Linked DNA regions of Canis lupus familiaris. The protein of the gene in region 2 interacts with the protein of the main gene of each other region in a pairwise test. Links are inferred from orthologs where the notes say so. Each region holds a gene or a part of one and is shown on either strand. Other genes may lie near its edges. The genes, in order: GSE1, TRIP6 and NEU4.

Region 1 (3,641 bases), on a different chromosome or scaffold from region 2:
TCCCAGGCGGTGGCGGAGGAAGGGGCTGTCCTTCCCGCCCTGGGCCTTACCGCTCAGGGAGACAGCAGGACTGTCCCTCGGAGAGTTCCTGAGTGGGTCTGCCACTGCTGCGGACAGTGCCTTCTGCTTCATGGCATGGAGCATTTCAACAAGTTTCTCTTTGTCTATGAGAAAAGCAGCCTGAGATTAACAACACAGTTGCATCACTGCTGAGAGGGAAGGGGAGCAGGCTTCTAGCCCAAGCCGTCACTGGCAGGTGCAAGTCCTTTAAATCAAGAAGAGCAAAGCAAGGACCAAGGGGAACAGGCTGTGTTTAAAGGAAGAAACTTTCATTTTAGGGTTAGCTCAGATTCTGCTCAGCTTTTGCTACAGAGCATTCTAGATGCATTCCAAAAATAGCTGTGTGCATACATCAAAATAATGGGTTCCCGTGATCTTCAGAGGTGACTTCCGACACTATTCTTATTTAAAAGACTCAGGCACACAAAAGCTCCCAACAAAAGGAACAACCGTGAAGATCCACACAGCACCTCTGGGAGCATGGGCTGCTTCCAGGCACATTCCTCTCCCCTACAGCTCTTGGCACACGTGCACAAGTCCCAGCAAGGCTGCCATCTACTGAAACGGAACCAGACCCCCGTGACGCCCACCACTGTGAGTTCCTGTTGTGGTGGCACTTGTTACCAACTGACACCGAAGTGCCTGCATCACTGGTGGCTTCCTCTAGGAATTAAGTCAGGCAAAAAGATGCTTGTTACAAACAAGATTATGGCTGTTCCCAGGGACAGGTGCCAGTGATCAATGAGTCACTGCCTCTTTAAGAGAATGCGCAGGTTCCAGTTTAAGGTTAAAGGCGAAAAGCACACGGCTACACCCCACTAATGAAGTAAGTGGAAGCAAGTATGTGACCAGTAACACTTCTGCTTTCCTTCTGACTTCCTTCCAGAGAAGTGACAACCTAGGTATCAGCAAGTTGGACTTAGAAGCATGGAAATGAGCATCGAGACAGGTGGAGTTCTCACCTGAACTCACTTCCTGGCACTAAGTGAGGTATGGGCCAGACCAAGGAAGGGGAGGCGAGAATGTGCTCAGACCGCACCACCCCTCCTGTGCTATGGACTCCAGCCTGAAAAGGTGGCCCCAACATGGCCCTTGGTGGCCAGATGGACCTGGAAGCACCTTCCAGGGCAAGCTGTCCCATTCACAGCATATGCTGGCTCTGCCTGGCCACCACAGGCCACCCCGAGCCTCCTGCTGTCAGAACGCAAAGCTCTGTGGGCCACGGCAGCACCTGCCAAGAGTAAACAGCCACTACCTGCAGGATGGTGCACTGCGACCCTGCGCCCAGGAGTCGCCCCACTTGCTGCCTGAAGCACTGGGAGGTCTGACAAGTGACAAGAGCAGCCGTCAAAAGCAGGCTTTACACACAGAACACATGGCACCAAGCCTTCAGTCCTGCACAGGATGTGACAAGAGATATGCCCTCCAAGGAGGGGAATTTGCATTTTGGATGGAGAGAAAGTCGATGCTGGAGCGATACTGGGGTAGGCCCGTGCAAGCAAAGTAGCTGCCTCCTTGGGGGCCAGAGGGAATAGAAAGAGCCCCAGGATGAAGTGGTTTTAGATCCTACCAGGAGTGTGGGCATGGAACATTCCCAGGAGCCCACGGCCCCTGCTTCTCCAGAAGCTTGTGGCCGCAGAGTGACCCGACCCCACGAGGCCCACACTAGGCTGTACCTTTCCTCTTCTCGGCACTGATGTGAGTCAGGTTGAAGATGGTCAGGAACTTCTTCTTCTCTTCGAAGTTTGGGCTGTTGTTCATCTCATCAGGACTGTAGCGGGTGGACAGTGCCAGTCTCGGTGAAGGCGTCTGCCGCTTGTTCTGAATCGTCGGGGGTGACGGGCTTCGCTCCCTCAGCATCCGCCGCCGCTTCCTCCGCTTCTGGGTCAGCAACTCCTCCTTCTGCTGTTGGGTGGTCAAGCCAAAAAGTTGCAAAAACTCTAGCTTCTAGATTGGGAAAGAAAACAAATGAGTTTGAAACCACTGGCAGTGGCATGCTTCCACTGTCCCAGGGGCTCCCTCCTGGGGTCCATGCAGCCCATGAGCTGTGGCCAACTCCACACTGGGCCACAGACGCGGAAGACCCTGACGGCGCTTCCAGACAACCTGCAGTCAATGGGAATGGAGGGGTGCAGGGGTTCCTAGCAAATGAGGGGCTGCCCGGGACAGTGGGAGGGAAGCCAAGAAGCAGAAAGTGATGGGGGCACCAGAGGCCCCACCCACAACCTGTCACACGGGGACGAGATTCCAGATACCTCGGAGGACGTGTCCAGCTTGAGGGGCGGCTGCTCGGCCACGCAGCGGAGGTGGGCCCTGACCTCCTCCTCGTCACTCTCATCGTAAGAGTCGTCCAGGTCGTAGTAGTATCCTGGGGACAAGAAAGGACTGTTGGGCTGGGCAAGGAGCCTCATCCTACAGTGGATGCACACAGGGGGCCCCTCTGTGACACGTACAGAAGCACGCATCAGACCAAGACCTGCAGGCCTCCCTGACCACCCCAAAACCCCAGATTCCTTTTATCCCAGGTGGAAACATGCATTAACCCCTAGTCCTAGGATTTTAGCACTTTATAGGGATGGCTGGTGAGGGGTGAGGGTGGAGACGGCAGGAGGCAGATGCCAGGCTTCCTTTGGACCCCAAGTGATGAGGCTGAGGTGGCCTGAACGGACATGATCTCTCTGCAGGGAATCATTCATCCCACAGGCCTGGGGCCGTGTCCATGGCAACCCAAGGCTGTGTGTGCACATCCACTCCCCTCCTGCTGTGGCCATCTGGGTCCACTACCCAGGAGGGGCCAGGCATACTCAGGTCCCCACCTAAGGCAGAGAATGTGCACAGAAACTCACGTAGAAAGCAGCAGCACCCCTGCACCGAGGGCACTGGATGGGGCACTCCCTCATTCTCCCTCACAAGACAAGTGGCGGAGAAAAATACTTTTGGGGCCTTAAATCTAGCCTAGAGCAAGAACCCTGGGAAGACCTGGCCCTGGTCCCAGCTTCTGGCTAAGAGACTGATTTCAATAGGACTCGTTTCTAGCAGGAAAAAAACAAAAAAAAAAACAAAAAAAAAACTGGTCTGGAGCAACCTCTGACCCCTCCTGGTCAGACAGGGTGTGCAAGTAGGAGACAGCCAAGGGTACCTTGGACCTGCTGGCTGACAGTCCCGCCCCCACCAGCGCCCTTCCCACTGCAGGAGCAGGGAGGGAAGGGGGCCAGATCTGTCCCTGCCCTACCCCCACCGAGGATGGCAACCCCTGAGGAGCCCCCACTGGGCCCAGGCCTGTTCTCTCGACAGCCTCCTCCTCTGTTATGCTGCGCTATTAATATTTAAAATCGTCTTATTAGCCTCTGTTCATTATTTATTAATCATGCGTGTCTGTGGAACTATTCTTCCAGAGAGCTTTGATTTGGCTTTTTGGGACAATTTGCACTGTAGCAGGACCGGCAGGGGCCCCAAGTCTGTCTCCCCAGCAGAGGTTGTCAGGTAGCAACACAGAAGCCAATGAACTTGCTCCCTGAGCCCACAGCAGGAATCAGGAGTGGGAGGAGGGCTGGCACTGCTGCCCCCCGGTCCCAGGAGGT
Region 2 (3,712 bases):
TCAAGATAAGTCTGGTCTCCTCCTCTTCTTCCTCCTCCTCTCACATTTGTAAGGAACTATTGTCCTTTCCCTCCAGCAGCCAGTAATTTCACTACTTTCCCAATTCCTTCCTTCTTACACATCAGTTTAGTCCCCCAGCTTGGAGTTCTTTTTTCCTTTAAGACTTTATTTATTTATTCATGAGAGACACGGAGAGAGAAGTAGAGACATAGGCAGAGGGAGAAGCAGGCTCCCTGGGGGGAACCCAATACGGGACTCAATCCAGGGCTCCAGGATCACCACCTGAGCCGAAAGCAGATGCTCAACCACTGGGCCACCCAGGCATCCCCCACCTTTGAATTCTGTCCCTCTCATGTGCTTAGACATCTAGTTTCCACCTTAGATGGAAGCCTCCTGCCTCCTGCTACCTTAGATGGAAGCCTCCTGCCTCCTGCTACAGACTCCAGCACCCAGGCCACCCCCAGCACACCCACTCACCACATAGCAGCTCTCACAGTACGCCCTCCTCTCCACAGCATAGAAATGTTGGCCCCGAAGCTGGGCCCGGCATGTAGAGCACACGAAGCAGCCAACGTGAAAGACCCGGTCCAGGGCCACAACGCCAGCCCCATCCCCAACCACATCTTCCCCACAGCCGCCGCACCGCCCTGGGGACAGGGAGGGACAGGGTCAATAAGCATGCAGAATGGAAGGTGGATTCGCTGTCCCCTTGACTCCCCAGTCCCCTGCCCCCCTTCCCACCTCAGGTCAGCTCACCAAAGTACTCCCCGGTGGGAGGATGGTTCATGTCATGCACCAGTTTCTTCGTCAGCCTCTCAAGCTCTTCCTCAGGAGGCTGGTTCAGGGGGACCTGAAAGGGGGGAGTCAGGGGTTCAGCCCTACCTCCAGCTCCCTATGCTGTCAGACTTTCCTGAAGGGGACCAGGCAGTTCCAAGCAGAAAGCTCATCTGACGAGGTCTCAGCCCGGGGCCCAGGGGTGCACCTCCAGGAGCCAGTGTACAGCTCCAGCACCTCCCTCTTCTATTTCCTGACCAGCGCCACATCCCTGGGACCCAGAACTCCAACACCCCAGGACTCCCCACCCCACCCAATCAGTGTCCAGTTGTCCATGAGGACCCCACATCCCAATACTTAGGGCTTACCTGGGGCCCATACGCGCCTCCTCTTCCTCCTCCTGCAGCCTCCTCTTTAACCCCTGGCCCTGGCTCATGGTGGCTCCTATAGCCAGCCCCCCAGACTTCACCTTGGCCTGGGAGAGGAAAGTGAGGGCCCGGGAGGGCCCCGGAGGCCTGAGAGGCCCCCCGCCTGGGAGGGCCACAGCCTCTCACTGGTTGTGCCACCTTCACTTGCACAGGGAAGGCAGGGCCAGCGGGGGTGCTGGCTGTAGCATAGGAGGCTGGAGTGGGGCCCCCATAGGGAGACGCTGAGAGCTGTTGGGGAGGAATAGGAACACCCCCTCCATTCGGCTTCAGGGAGCCTGAGCCTGTGCGGTAGGCATGGGGCTGAGGGGGCTCATAAGCCTGGGGAGAAACAGACCAGGAGTGAGAAGGCCCATTCCAGGACACACACTTGTGGGCCCTCCCACGTGTGTGTGTGTGTGTGTGTGTGTGTGTGTGTCCCCAAGGTAGTGCTGGTCTTTGACAAGCACTCAAGAGGCTGACAATCTAGTAAGATGTGATACTCCTGCATGTATCACACATGGGGGCAAGGGTGAAGGGTACCAGGTTGAGAATCTAGGGAAAGGACCAGGATGGGGAGTGTGGAAGAGGGCAGGAGACAAGGAACAGGGGTGGGACAGGGAAGTCACCTGCCGGTCTGACCGCCGTGGGGCATGACCACGACCTCCATCCAACTCAGCCAGCATGCTGGTCAGCGAATCTATCTCGGCATCCAGACTTCCTGGACGCAAGGCCCCCCTGTCTGGGGGGAGCCCCTGGAGATGAAGAAAAAGCAGGGAGAATTCAAGTCACTTGCCCCGGGTGCCCCCACCTCCCACCCACTCCCAATTCCAATTCTCACCTGTGAGCGCTGGGGTGCTCCATGGCACCCCACCCAGGGGAACCCCCGATCATCTGGTCCCCCGGGGGCCTGGTAACACTGCTCAGATGGGAGGGGGCAAAAATTGACCCTGGGGTGGGGCTGATGTGCTAGGGTGAGGGAAAAGAGAGCCAAGGTGGGGATGGGGAAGGAGGGGAGGGTGACACTTATGGAGGCCGCCCTCATGGGTCACTCTTCTCCCCTCCCCCCCCACACTTGGAGTCCCAGAACAGAGCAGGAGCAGGAAGCCGGAAGGGCTTCAGGGAAGGGGTGGCAGGGACAAGCCAGGGGCAGGAGGCAGGAACCAGAAGGCGAAGGTGAGCTCAGAATGGCCAGTGGCCTCCTTGGCGGCACTGGGGCTGCCTTACCTGCTCCATGGGCTGGCGGCGGCCCCGGGGCACCTCGGGGGAGTGCTCTCCCCTGAGGGGCTCTTGCAGGCTCCAGCTGCCTTGGGGGGAGCCAGGTGGGCCCCGACATGGCCGGGATCAGGAGACTCTAGACAGCGGTCAGGCCCCACGTAGCCCCAAGACTCTGGTCTTGGCCCCTTCTTCTGTCCCACACCTCGTTTGGAACTCCAGGAAAGAAACTTTTTCTGGCCTTTTTTTTCCCCTTCCTCCCCAATTTTGGGGACAGCCACGCCCCCGGTGACGTCACCACATTCCTGGGGGAGGGTCACGTGGCCCCCTAGGCCCTAAACTGCCGTCCCTCCCCCAGTCGGCCCCCTCCCGCCGAGCAGGGAGAGCTTTCCAAGGCTGCCTCCGTTTCACTCGTTCCCCCAGACTGGCGCCCCAAGTCCCGCACGTGGCCACCTCGCCGCTGGGACGCGCTCCAGCGCGGCTCTTTCCCACACTCCCCCAACCAGATCTCTCTCTTCCCGCCCCACCTACCGCCCCTAGCAGTGCTCAGCCAGGCCAGCCCATAGTGTTTTGGTCTTTTATTCACGTTCAGCGGTTAGAAAAATAAAACAGAACAAAAACATCACAACCTCAGGGGTCTGCGAGTCTGTTGGGCAAGGGGAGACTGAGGTAGCCGAGAGTCAAAGCAGAGACCCAGCCTCCATCAAGGCACCAGTGAAGGAAGGGAGGCCAGTGGGGAGGGCTGCTGCCTTTCTCCCCCAGCGTGGTGGGGACACAGCTGCCCTGCATTAGTGCACTAAAGCCCCTCTCACAGGGACAGAGGGGTGCCCCAGCCCAGGATCCCCTAGTACTTCCACAGGGCTCCACACCCCACACGTGGAGCAGGCGGGAGGCTGCCCTTCCCTTCTGCATCCACTGATCAAAGCAGGTCACCGGACCTGGGCACCCTCTGCTCCAGGCCCCGGGCATCAGAGATCAGTGCAAGTGACTGGGGTGACTCCGTGAATGAGTAGCGTGGGGCCCAGATCATGGGTCAGAGTCTCCAGGAGCGCCAGGTAGCGAGTGTAGCAGGCAGGATCGGCGGGCGGCCGAGGCAGGTATAGGAAAGTGAGGGCTGTGGCAGGCCCACCTTCGCCATCCGCACCCTCAGGCCCACCGGGCCCGCCTCCTCTGCCGCGCCCCTGCTGGGCCCGAACCAGGGCGTTAGCACTGCATGCCAGGGCCTCTGCCTCAGCATCTCCCCGCCTGCCATTCACAAAGTCTCCTTCCTCCTCCTCCTCCTCCGGCTCCCCAGCCCCAGCCCCCTCACCCCACACCAC
Region 3 (3,661 bases), on a different chromosome or scaffold from region 2:
GGGCAGGAACTCGGAGGTGCGGTTGGAATCGAGGGTATTTGCTTTTGCCTCTGGTTGGCAGGAATGTAAACTGGTTTTGTCTCCGCAGAAGGAAATTCGGGATACTGTTACACTGTAAAGGGCACACGGTTGGAGGGAGGCGTGTCGGCAAACAGCCGGGAAAACCATGCAAACACCCGAGTCTCTGCGCCTAGGGAAGCCTAGGGGCACAGATTCCGGCACAGGACTCCCTTCAGCAGCCGGACGGAGAGACACCCAGGCCTTGGCAACGACAGGTGGCCGCGGGGGGCAGGGGCCCCTGCCACGGAGGAAGCCCAGGAGGCGGACCTTCTGATTTGTCAAGAGAAGCTGGAAATACAGGTTTTCCTGTGAAATCTCCACATTTAAAACGGCTGGTGTCTCATGCAAACATTTATCAGGGTGGTGGTGGGGGCGCGGGGGGGTGAGCAGGTGGAGGGGATAGAGCTCCAAGCTTCCAGCTTCGGGCCGGCTGAGGGCTCCGCGTAGAGGGGCGCAGCTGTGTTGTCTGCGGACACACGGTGGGGTGGCCGCGTGCTCCTGTCCCCTCAGCACAGACGATACAGCCTCAAACTAATAGAATATCGTTTGTCACAAGCAAAAAAACCAAAACAGAGCGCCCAGCTCTCTCGTGTGTCTGTAGAGGAGAGGGGATGGGGGCCTAGGAGGAGCCGTTCGCTCCCCTCCATGAGTGGACAGGAAAGATCATTACGAGCATACTTAAATTTTTTTTGAGTATTTTTGGGAGCGTCTATGAATAAAAGCTTTTCAAACGGTGAAGTGTTTGTCGTTCAAGCATTCCTCGGTGTTAACAACGTAAAACAAGCAAAGCCACACCCCAAGTCCCCGAGCAGAGGGAATGAGGCCGGTGTGTGGGCCGCCTCCTCCCGCGGTCCCAGAGGGCCCCCCTGCACGGGCCGTGCGGCAGCTTGGGGGCGCAGCGGGAGGCCCGAACCCTGGGCACAGAGGAAGGGAGACGGTTTGGGTGAGGCCCTGGGAAGTGGGGGGTCGTGTCTGATGTGGAGACGCTGGGGTCCAGATCGAACGACCAAGAGACGTGGTCGGCGTGCAGAGGTGAAAGCCCAGGGGCAGGACGCGGGCGTGGGAAGAGCTGTCCCAGCCCGAGGTGGGAGGGGGCGAGGGAGAGCCCAGTCGCCAAGTGACTTTGGGAGCCAGGGGGCCATCTGTGGTTAGGAGAGGGTCATTTAGCACCGGCTACCGGAACCCGGGTCCTGAGCCCCTCCAGATGGACACTGGGGGTTGTGTGCCAGGGGAGGAGCACCCACATGTGTTGCGGGGAGAGAAAGCCAGTTTCCTAAGGAGTTTCTACAGGTTCAGGTGGACTCGCAGGTCCTGGGGGGTCAGGCTACGGTTGCCCGCTGCCCTTGGCAAGGTGTCCCCATGGAGGCCGCCGAACCCCCAGAGGAGGGTCACTGTGCCCTCCTCCAGGGCCTCAGTGGGCTGCCCGGAGTGAGGACATGCACTGTCTCACATCCTCGTCTCCCCCTTCCCGTCCACAGCACAGCCTGGGCTTGCATCTGGGCACGGGTGGCCCAGGGTACTGACCTGGGGGTCTCCTTGCTCCTCTCCCCAGGTCTCCCGAGGACCTGAGCAGGTGGGTGGGTAGGCGGTCTCCAAAGGAAGCTTGGGTTGTAGGCAGTAAGGGGATCGAGGGGAATACCTTGTCCCAACTCCCGAGCCAGGGTGGATGGCTTCCTTTTATGTAGGGTCAGGAGGACTATTCGGGAAGGGGAGCCTTGTCATTGTCTGTAGAGGCGTAAAGTCACGCGTGTGCCTTAAGGAAACCTGCCGAAACGTAGTCGTCGTGTGTGATGTCCGTGCGGCTCGTGTCCTCCCAGGGCAGGGGTCTTAGTGTTATATGAGGTCAGGGCGACTGTGTGGTCGCCCGTGCCCCGTGGTCCATCTGCACAGTGAGTCGGGGGTGCGGCTCCCACAGTTCGGATGGTCGGGCCCCCAGAGCTCTTCCTCCGGGCCAAGGTTATTGCGGGGGGCAGGGGGGCCAGTTTCAGTGTCCATCCCGGGATGCGGCACCTGCTGGGTCTTTGCCCGAGTTAAGAGACCAGCCGGAAAGAAGAGCTTCAGGAAGAATGTGGGAGGGAGGTCAGCGGGTGCACGCGGGTGGGCAGTCCAGGTCAGGTGCTGGGGTCTGTCCCGTGGTCCTGCTGTCAGAGGGCAGGTCAAGGGGGTACAGGTGGGGCGCAGGGAGCCTGAGCAGGACGGCCCTCCAGAGAGCCCTTTCACCCACACCTGGGCTGCTGAGGGCCCCCCTGACGCCCCCGGGCGGCGGTCACCTGGACACGGTCACTGGTGAAAGGGCCCAGCTGGTGGGAGTCCTGACCAGGCCACGGGTGGGAGTCCTGACCAGGCCATGGGTGCTAGGGTGGGGGCTGTCCCCTCCAAGTCTGAGCCGGCCACCTCACATGGACACGGGGCTGAAGCCCAGTGAGAGCCCAAGGGGCCTGCGTTCTGGGTGTCCGAGCCGTGCTGGGAGGGTCACGAGTGCTCACTTGGGTTTCCAGGGGCAGGTCTCTGGAGGAGGCTTGGAGGCAGCAGAGATCTAGGGGTCAGCTGTCAGCTGCGGCCCTTGGCACCCGCGGTCCCAGCCCAGCCTTGTTGGAGGTGAGCCCCTAGTTCCAGGCACTGCAGGGCAGAGAGGGCTTCCCCCCCTCCCGCCGTGCCCATCTGCACCGCCCTCTCTGGGGGCCACACAGCTGGCAGGACGCAGCCCTGGGACCCCGCCAGTCCAGGCTCCCGCCCCGCACAGCCAGCCCTTGTCCCTGCTGCGCTCACTGGGTTGGAGAAGCAGAAGCAACTGCAGCTGCCCCGCAGCCAGCTCCACGACCTTCCTGCGACACCCGGTGAGTCCCCTCCCTGCTCGCCTGCCCCCGGCCCCTCAAGGCTCCTCTGTCCCCCCAGGCTGCCCTTGGGCAAGGGCGGGGCACACTCGCGGGCTGAGGGCCGCCCGGCCATATGCTCCACACGGTGTCCCCGTGGGACAGTTTCCTGGTCAGAGCGGCAGGTGCCCTGCAGGGCCCCGGGGTAGCCGCGGAGAGCCGGTGACCTGGCTGGGGGGCTGCGGGTCAAAGTGGGGGCGGGCCAGCCTGCAGGAGTGTGGGGCCCGGCTCCCCCAGGCCAGTGGTTTGTAACTGAGTCCTGGCCCCCGGCACGGCCCAGGACATTCACCCAGACTGGAGACCCTTCCGGAAGTGACAGGGCCAGGAGGCCCCTCCGCCAAAAGGCCAAACACGTATGCAAAACCCTTTGCTGTTGATAGGCACGCATTTAAGTGACTTTAAGTGACCCGCAGCAGGCTGGGGTCCTGACCTGGGCGGGGGCGGAGACCTGCTGATAGGAGGGTGGGGGTCGGGGGACAGCTGTCTGGAGGGTGGGATGTTGGGCACAGCCATCCTACCCTGCTCACACCAAGCCTTGGAACCTACTGATGTGGCCAGACCTGGCCAGCTACCCCTGAGGAAGAGAACTCTTCCTCCTAGGTTGAGGGGGTCGCCCTGGGACTTTGGGGTTCTGCAGAGACCCGGGCCCACATAGGATGGCCCGGGGTGCCCTGTCCTGCTCTGTGCAGGCGGCAGTGTGAGCAGCTGGTCTGTGCGGCCTCCATCTC

The links.
Region 1: the proteins of TRIP6 (region 2) and GSE1 interact in binary tests that used the Homo sapiens proteins (3 or more experiments, as listed by UniProt). The link is inferred for Canis lupus familiaris from reciprocal best matches to the Homo sapiens genes TRIP6 and GSE1.
Region 3: the proteins of TRIP6 (region 2) and NEU4 interact in binary tests that used the Homo sapiens proteins (3 or more experiments, as listed by UniProt). The two-hybrid records come from large-scale screens. The link is inferred for Canis lupus familiaris from reciprocal best matches to the Homo sapiens genes TRIP6 and NEU4.

What each region holds. Positions count from the first base shown.
Region 1 is NC_049226.1:67,507,937-67,511,577, forward strand, and holds part of GSE1 (genetic suppressor element 1), read right to left. Parts: intron 3,404-3,641; exon of another isoform or gene 2,429-3,403; coding exon 2,316-2,428; exon of another isoform or gene 2,008-2,315; coding exon 1,737-2,007; exon of another isoform or gene 165-1,736; coding exon 51-164; exon of another isoform or gene 1-50.
Region 2 is NC_049227.1:8,843,783-8,847,494, forward strand, and holds the start of TRIP6 (thyroid receptor-interacting protein 6), read right to left. Parts: upstream 2,819-3,712; 5' UTR 2,515-2,818; coding exon 2,406-2,514; intron 2,148-2,405; coding exon 2,020-2,147; intron 1,934-2,019; coding exon 1,808-1,933; intron 1,521-1,807; coding exon 1,143-1,520; intron 851-1,142; coding exon 757-850; intron 648-756; coding exon 478-647; intron 1-477. Other genes in the region: SLC12A9 (solute carrier family 12 member 9), read right to left, coding at 3,362-3,712. UniProt on the Homo sapiens protein: Relays signals from the cell surface to the nucleus to weaken adherens junction and promote actin cytoskeleton reorganization and cell invasiveness. Involved in lysophosphatidic acid-induced cell adhesion and migration.
Region 3 is NC_049246.1:51,661,122-51,664,782, forward strand, and holds the start of NEU4 (sialidase-4), read left to right. Parts: upstream 1-854; 5' UTR 855-1,003; exon of another isoform or gene 1,004-1,092; intron 1,093-1,538; exon of another isoform or gene 1,539-1,633; intron 1,634-2,558; 5' UTR 2,559-2,658; exon of another isoform or gene 2,659-2,750; 5' UTR 2,751-2,897; intron 2,898-2,918; exon of another isoform or gene 2,919-3,213; 5' UTR 3,214-3,286; intron 3,287-3,661. UniProt on the Homo sapiens protein: Exo-alpha-sialidase that catalyzes the hydrolytic cleavage of the terminal sialic acid (N-acetylneuraminic acid, Neu5Ac) of a glycan moiety in the catabolism of glycolipids, glycoproteins and oligosacharides.